Linked DNA regions of Schizosaccharomyces pombe. The protein of the gene in region 2 interacts with the protein of the main gene of each other region in a biochemical or structural test. Each region holds a gene or a part of one and is shown on either strand. Other genes may lie near its edges. The genes, in order: prp11 and sap49.

Region 1 (3,930 bases), on a different chromosome or scaffold from region 2:
CGTCAAGCCCACGAGCAACTACACTAGTTGCGATTAATACATCAAATACTCCTGCTTTATAATCACTGATGGTTGAGTCGCGATCGTGTTGATCCTTACCGCCATGAATTGAATTACTTGTATACCCGCGTTTCATAAGGTCCGACAAAAGTGCATCCGCAGACTCTTGTCTATCCACAAAAACAAGTGTACGTACATCAAGTTGATTGTTGTACAACTCACCTAACAGCTCTAATAGCCGAGAAAACTTGCTTTCCTCAGGCCGTACTTCAACGATTTGCTCAACCTCAGAAGCAACAACCGACCGTCCGCCAACCGTAATCTCTACAGGTTTCTTTAAAACTTTCCTTGCAAGGGCTTCCATAGCACGAGGAAAGGTAGCTGAAAATAGTACGGTTTGCCGATCAGGTCGAATATTGTTAATAATTCTCATGACTTGCGGTTCAAATCCTAAATCAAACATACGATCGGCCTCATCCAAAACCAAATAAGTGCAGCGGTGTAAGTTAGTAACACGTCCTGCATTCGCACTTAAAACATCAATCATACGTCCAGGAGTACAAACTACGATTTCTGCACCGCGTTTTAAATCAGCAATTTGGTCTTTAATAGGGGCACCTCCATATGCACAACACGCACGAATGTTCAATAACTTTAAGAAAGGTTTACATTCGCGAAAAATTTGCACAGCCAATTCACGAGTAGGAGTCATTATTATTGCAATAGGACCCTCTCCTGTTTTTAATGGGCGCTGATCTTTGATGTGTCGAAACATAGGAAGAAGAAAAGCAATGGTTTTTCCACTTCCTGTTTTAGCTACGCCAATTACATCTCTGCCAGAAGTAATCGCTGGAATTGCTTGTGCTTGAATAGAGGTTGGTTTTTCGTATCCCAAGGAATTGATCACGCTTATGGTTTGGGCAGATAAACCACATTGACTCCAACTAGTAACTGGCTTCGGGCAATCAATACCACGAATTTTAATACCATCTAAAGAAGCCCGTAGTTCATCAACTTCAGCTGGTGACAGATTTTTGAGCTCTTCAGGTTCAACATAGAAATCCTTTTTGAAATCTTCATAATTTATTTTTGAGTGATCAACTGTGATTACGTCTTTCTTTTTTGATCGTTTTGCAGCAAGAGCAAGTAAATTTTCTTCCTCTTCCAAAGTCTCTGAAATTACCATGCGCTCGTCATCGTTTGCATTCGGATCAATGACCTCCGTATTTAATAAACCAGGCCTTATGGTATCAGTGGTACCAACCAAAGAGGCCATGTAAGCATCTAAAGGATCTACTTCGTCTTCCTCCATGCTAGCTGCTTGCTCATTTCCTAGCATACCCCGGTCTTCTTGGTCCCAAAGCTCCTGGTAGTCTTCAAGATTCATACGCCTAGGACCATCTTCATCATCCATGTGAACTCGGTTATTTCGCTTCATATCCGAAGTATCTTTTTGGCGATTAATCTCAAACCCGGATATACCAGTTGAAGGCATAGCATTCTGGTCTTTGGCTGTAACCTGCGGCTTTGTATTCAACTTGTGCTCCTCCTTCTTGGAAGCCTCCTGTTTTGCCTTTGACTCTTTCCACGCTCTAACTCGTTCTAGCCTGGCGAGTAGCTTAGCATCCGTAATTTTGTCTGACGCTACTGGCTTTTCAGCATTTCGTTGATGATTATTTTCAACAGCTTTATCCTTGGGAATTACATCAACTCGTGGATTTTCAGATTGAATTTCTGAAACACTTAAAGAAGCACCAACTCTCTCAGTTCGATCAAATCGAGAACGTCTAGGCTGAGGCTTTATTTCAGTTGCGGAACCTTGTAATACAGGATTTGTTTCATCTGATTTAGTTTTATTGTCTACTTCTTTTTCCTCAGCATGTCTATGAGATGTTGGTCGCGGTGACCTACCAATATACTGATCGGGAATATTCTTTGATCTCGCATACTCTCGATCTCGCTCTTGATACCTTTTTTCGTAACTATACTTATCATGCTTCCAAGAATTATCTCTTCTAATTTTATTAGACTCGTGAGAACGAAAAGAATCATGCCTATCTCGTCGACTTGATACATCGTCTACGTATCGGTTATACCGTGCACCCTTTTGATCTTCAGAGTCATCATATTTTCGGTAATCTCTTCTTTCTCTATTGTAGGATCGCCTTGGAGGCGACCTTGATCGTGTTCTTCTAGACATCAAAAACTGGGTGTTGTGATATGTACACGAAGAGTTTTAATGAGGCAAGTAAACGACATAAATTACTTTATATAGCAATATATATTATGCATATGATATTAGTTCACTACTAGATATAATTTACATTATTATAGTTAACCTCTTTATGATTATTTATACAAGTCATATGGGGTTTATTAAAAAGCAATGAATTTGCCAGTTAAGTCGGTAAAGCAACCTGAATTCTGTGCAATTTATAAATCTTAGAAGTAATATTCATTTTTTATTTCAGTTATTTAAAATTTAATTATGGTTCCCTACACTGGACCTTCAACTTAACCAGTAAAACTCGGAAAAATAATCAACACTGGTATATAAGTAATTTTTTCAACACCGCTTACATTTTGATTGTTGCTGAATTTTTATTGCTTTTGTACTAAAGATAATATCGGAAAACCGAGAAATAAAAGACGATAAAAAATTTTATTGATTGGCGAATAGGCGAGTTAGCTCTTTTTATTTACAATATTTCTTTTTTTATGTAAATAACTATTGGGGTTAAGGCTTGGAATCCACAATTCTTGATTACTAGTAAGGTACTCTTTCAAATGTCTGTTAAACAGTCATCTACAATAGAATGTAATAAGTCAGATAATTTAGAGCGTACATAAATTAAGAAAAGCCATTATTTCCATTCCAAAAAAGAAAAAAAAAAAAGCATAATTGAAATTTACATAATGTTATACTTTTTCTATAATGTTTATGTTTTTGCGCTCTTCGACCAATAATATTGACTTAGCAGAAAACCAAAAAACGAAAATTCTTTAGTAATGCCAAATGAAAGAGAAAATTATTTATGTGTATATTTATTTTTATTTTTTTTAAGTGTATTTTTTCGCCATTTACTCGATTTAACAGTGATAGTATTAATAGCTGGCATTATTTTTCTGGTATTGCTTTATAATTTGATATACTTAATACTGGGATAATTGTTTTTAGGATGAGCAATGGTTATACGCATGTAATGAAGTTAGAAACCGACAGCAAATAAATCTTACATTTTGAAAGAAAATTTAAAAAATATGGTTGTCCAAATACAAGCGATGGGATACCCCAACGTGAATACATGGAAAGATTGAATGTAGAGTATCTAATTAAGGAGAATTAAGCTAAGGCATGAACTATGCCCGAAACTGAGCAATGGTTAAAGAGTATATTAAGTAATTTATTTTACCCAATATATTGAAACTAGTTTAACCTCTAGTTGGTATGTATAGTTGGTTGCTCATTTTTACTGATTGCTGTATTCCATTCACTCTTTCATCTTTAGGTTAAATATTTGTATTTGGTTCTCCTTGGATACTTTTATCAGTTGGTAATCATTTTTAAATTCATTGTCTTATATAGGATTTTTGTTTTGTACAGATTCTTCCTTTCATCATCCTTGAGAGTCTCTTAACTTCACGATCCGCCTAAATTCCTAAGAAGGAGTCTATCTCATGCTACTGTTTTTTATTTAACACATTTGTGAACGGAAATAGAAATAGAGTTGATTATTCCATCCAAATTGGAAAATTTTCGCATCAAAGTATTTAACAGCTTTCAGAAATCAAAATTGCAAATTGGAAAATCTCTACGAATAACACCACCATTAAATATGGAAACAAAGGTTCATTTGCCTCTTGCTTACCAGCAGCAGGTTTTTAACGAACTTATTGAAGAGGATGGTCTGTGTGTAATTGCACCAGGTT
Region 2 (3,909 bases):
GTAGGTGTTGACTGGAGAAGATTTTACATATTATAGAGTATTATCACATACCATTTGATTTGATTATGTAAATAGCTTCCTCAAAAAAGCCATCATCAGTAAAGCTATAACTAATACCCGGTAATTCAGGTTCGAAGAAATCCTCATCCAAAGGGTCAAAGAAATCCTGCAGAGGGTTAGTTAGACAATTTTTTGAAAATCAAAAGTTAGCTTACGGGGCCAGTCAAAACAGTTTCAGACTTGGAAGACCAAGTTCCGACTAGATTTTCATCGTAATTATCAATTTCCGCACCAACATATTGGGTGAGCCACAAACAGGTAAACAAACCAATTTGATAAAGAAGATGCATTGTGCTGAATGCTTTCTTATAGTTTTCTAAAGGGTCGAATAAGAAGCTGTTACCAATGTTTATGCAAAAAACTTCTATATGGTTGTTGACACAAGTCTTCGTGTACTTGATTTATTTAGTTTTACGGGATAACGAGTCAAAAATAATACTTCACTAATATTGGTCAAGAGATTAGCAGCTTATATTTAATATAATGCTTAGACTATACTTTCGTTTGGATTGTATACATAATTCAATGTATCTGAAAATATGTTGGATTGAATTAATGCGTCGTTTATAGACTATATTGCCGATATTTAGGGACGAAGTAAAACTCATTACTAGAAAAAGTCAAACTGTAAAATATAAACAAACATCAATTTTAATTTCTTTTAAATAAGATAAATCTCAGCTTCCACTTTTTTTACTGTACACGTTAAAAAAAAAATCAACCATACGGATCAATCTCAGCTATTTTACTATGCCGGCGTTTGAGCAACAATGGTAGTTATTTTGCTTCTTTTTAAAATATTTTACCTCCTTTGTTGTTGACTGTATCCATTTTGTGCATTGATTGTTTGATAAAATGGTATGTTTGGCATTACAGGAGCACCAGGTATGGTAGCAGCAGCAGGAGAAGGAGAAGCCATCACCATTCCTGGTGGTGGAGGGGGGACAAGTGGTGCACCTCCAGGGCCCATTGGAACATTCATCATTGGCATAGCAGGCATTCCAGGGAAATGCTGTGCAGCAGTGAAAGGAAGAACATTAGGTATTGACAAGGGAGGGACGGCAGTAGTTGCTCCCACTAGAGGAACATTCGGTACAGGAGGTATCGATGTAGCAGCAATTGTTGCTGGAGTATTAGCAGCAGATGTTGGAGCAGGAGTGGCGGGTGAAAATCCTGGAGGCAGAGTACTCTGAGGAGTAACGGCAACTTTATTCTTTTTAGCGGCTGCTGCTAGCTTTCTTTCCGCAATATCTCCGTGACGTTCACCCTTTCCTTCGCGTTTAAAGGCGTATGACACGGTAATTGGTTTATTCATTAAAAACTGATTATTCATGGCCTCAATGGCTGCATCAGCGGTTTCAAAAGAATCGTAGCTAACAAAACCATAACCTTTCGACCTTCCATTCTCGTCTCTTGCTACCTGAGGTGCCTTGACAAGTTGTCCCAAAGCAGAAAATGTATCGTACAATACGCGTTCATCAACAAGAGGATCCAAGTTGCCAACAAATAAATTTGCACCAATTAAGGTATTGACTCCTCTGTCCTGGCTAGCTCTATTGACCCTTATAGGCTTTCCAAACAACTTTACTTGATTCAGAATTTGACATGCATACTCAACATCTTGTTCGTGTAAGAATTCGCAGAAACCAAAGCCATTATGACTATTCCTTACTCTATCTCTTGGAATATGAATATTTACTGTATGAATTAGTATCGAAAGCCACAAATACAACCAACACTCGAATAATTACATACCAACTGGACCTGCCTGCAGGCATAACTCAAACAAAATAGAATCCGTTACTTTTTCATCAAGATTGCCAAGATATATAGTTGCATCCTGATTCCTGTCTTCTCGAATACTCATTAATAAATAAGTAAAAATAAGTTAAAGTGTCTATTATAGAAATTTATTAGAATAAATAGATAGACACGTTTGAAGACGCTGGTAGAAGATTCAAGAAATTGGTGCATAGTCTCGTTATTGACTTAATGACGAGCACCAAATAGCACAATAGAAAACTAAATTACAGTATTCATCGTTAAAATTTCAGTGTCCAGCGTTTTCCAAACACATTTATGGAGATTTTTAATACTAAATCTTCGTTTTTTTTTTATTATTTTATAATTTTACTCATGAGATTGAATTATATTCAAGTTGAAGGTACAGTTGTGAATGGTAGACTGACGAAATATTTTTTATAGCAACCTATCTCTTTATACAGCCCTAATTTCCTTACATCCATCGTACACTAGTACATTTAATAGGTTCATTTATTAACTTTTTGTAAAAACGATGTTTGGCCATGTATATTTATTTTTGCTGCTGTAGTTTTGAACACAACTGAGGGCTTATTTATGTTACCCTAGATGGGCTTTTTACTCCCATGTGGTCTTTGTAACCTTCTTATGATCTTCACCCTTCAGGTGATACCACGACTTCAGTTGAATTTTATAGCTTTTCGAGTGTGTTTTTAATCAAAATATTTCTGTGATGTTGGTGTTTTGAAAAAGCGTACTTGTGTAGTCCTAGATGCCCCTTTTTTCTTTCACTTAAGTCTATTATTGTTTATGTTTAATTTTCTACTTGCAAACTTTTCGAAAGGACTGTTCGTAGCCTTTACGTTTATTGCTTATTTATTTTTTCTGATTTAAGCTCGTGAGCTTTTTCTAACAGACGTACGATCAGACAATTGGCACGTCTGCTTTTCTTTTCTTTTCTTTTTTAAGACCTGTCTACTCAACGCAGGATTTCTTCGATTATCTAGGTTTTTAAACGGTTTAAAAGGACACAGAATATTTTATTACTTCATTTTAGTATTTTATTTTCGACATGATTGCTGCTGTCGAAAAAGATGCTGTGCCTCGAAAAAGGCGAGTAATCAGTCAAGTATCTCAGGCATGCATTCGGTGTAGGCAGAAAAAAATAAAGTGTTCTGGTGAAAAGCCATCATGTCAAGCTTGCAGTAACAACAAAGTTGAATGCATTTGGCCTGATCGACCGAATATGCGAGGCAAAAAGCCATCTTCCGCTGCCAGAACCTTGAGTCCTCTTACTGGTATAGTGCAACCGTATCTGGGCTCTCATCCTTTTTCTCCTACGATCCTCTCTCCATCATCTCCTAACATGGATTTTACTTACTCTATTAATAGCTTTGGTGACTATCAGAAGCAGTTAAGGCTACCAACCAGTAGAAAGTTATTACAGCTTTGGGACATATTTCTTAAAACTTCATATACCGAACTTTTTGGGATATTTAATAAGGCCCAAATTACGTCTCAAATTGCAAGTGATACTGCTCCGCCAGTCCTCGTACTTTGTATATGTGCTCACGCTGCTCGTTTCAGTCAAGAGGAAGTCAATAGATTTAAATCTTCAACTGCAGCATCTGATTACTACGCAAACCAAGCCTTTTCACTGCTTCCTTGTCGTTTCCAGGATATTTCACTGACTAATATCACTTGCCTGCTCTTGCTTTGCTTAATTGAGTTGGGCTCTTGTAGAGGCGCTAAAGCCTGGCTTTTACTGGGTATGGCTCTCCGTATGGTCGATTCTTTAGATCTTGGTAACGAAATAAATGATAATCCTCTTACGATGGGATCCAACACTGTTTCATGGACTGAAGCCGAGCAGAAAAGAAGGGTTTATTGGGCTTGTTTTTTTGTCGAACGTTTGCTAAGTACAGGTTACATGGCACCTTCAAAATTGCGCTCACTTTCTTTATCTCTTCAAAAGACTAGTATACAATTACCTTGTCCGGAACCTAATTTTTTATTTAATCAGCCAATTCTTACTGAGTTATTTGATGGATCTTTACCGGAAAACACTCAGTCAGACACCACTTCAAT

Evidence for each region.
Region 1: the proteins of sap49 (region 2) and prp11 form a complex in vitro, tested with the Schizosaccharomyces pombe proteins (one study listed by BioGRID).

What each region holds. Positions count from the first base shown.
Region 1 is NC_003421.2:517,810-521,739, reverse strand, and holds the start of prp11 (ATP-dependent RNA helicase Prp11), read right to left. Parts: upstream 2,229-3,930; 5' UTR 2,201-2,228; coding exon 1-2,200. Other genes in the region: rad16 (DNA repair endonuclease XPF), read left to right, coding at 3,837-3,930. UniProt on the Schizosaccharomyces pombe protein: ATP-dependent RNA helicase involved in pre-spliceosome/complex A assembly and mRNA splicing. Bridges U1 and U2 snRNPs during pre-spliceosome assembly and enables stable U2 snRNP association with intron RNA.
Region 2 is NC_003424.3:2,987,414-2,991,322, reverse strand, and holds sap49 (U2 snRNP-associated RNA-binding protein Sap49), read right to left. Parts: upstream 1,951-3,909; 5' UTR 1,928-1,950; coding exon 1,816-1,927; exon of another isoform or gene 1,759-1,815; coding exon 863-1,758; 3' UTR 506-862; downstream 1-505. Other genes in the region: chaperone Rot1, read right to left, coding at 52-166, 216-350; mca1 (transcription factor), read left to right, coding at 2,894-3,909.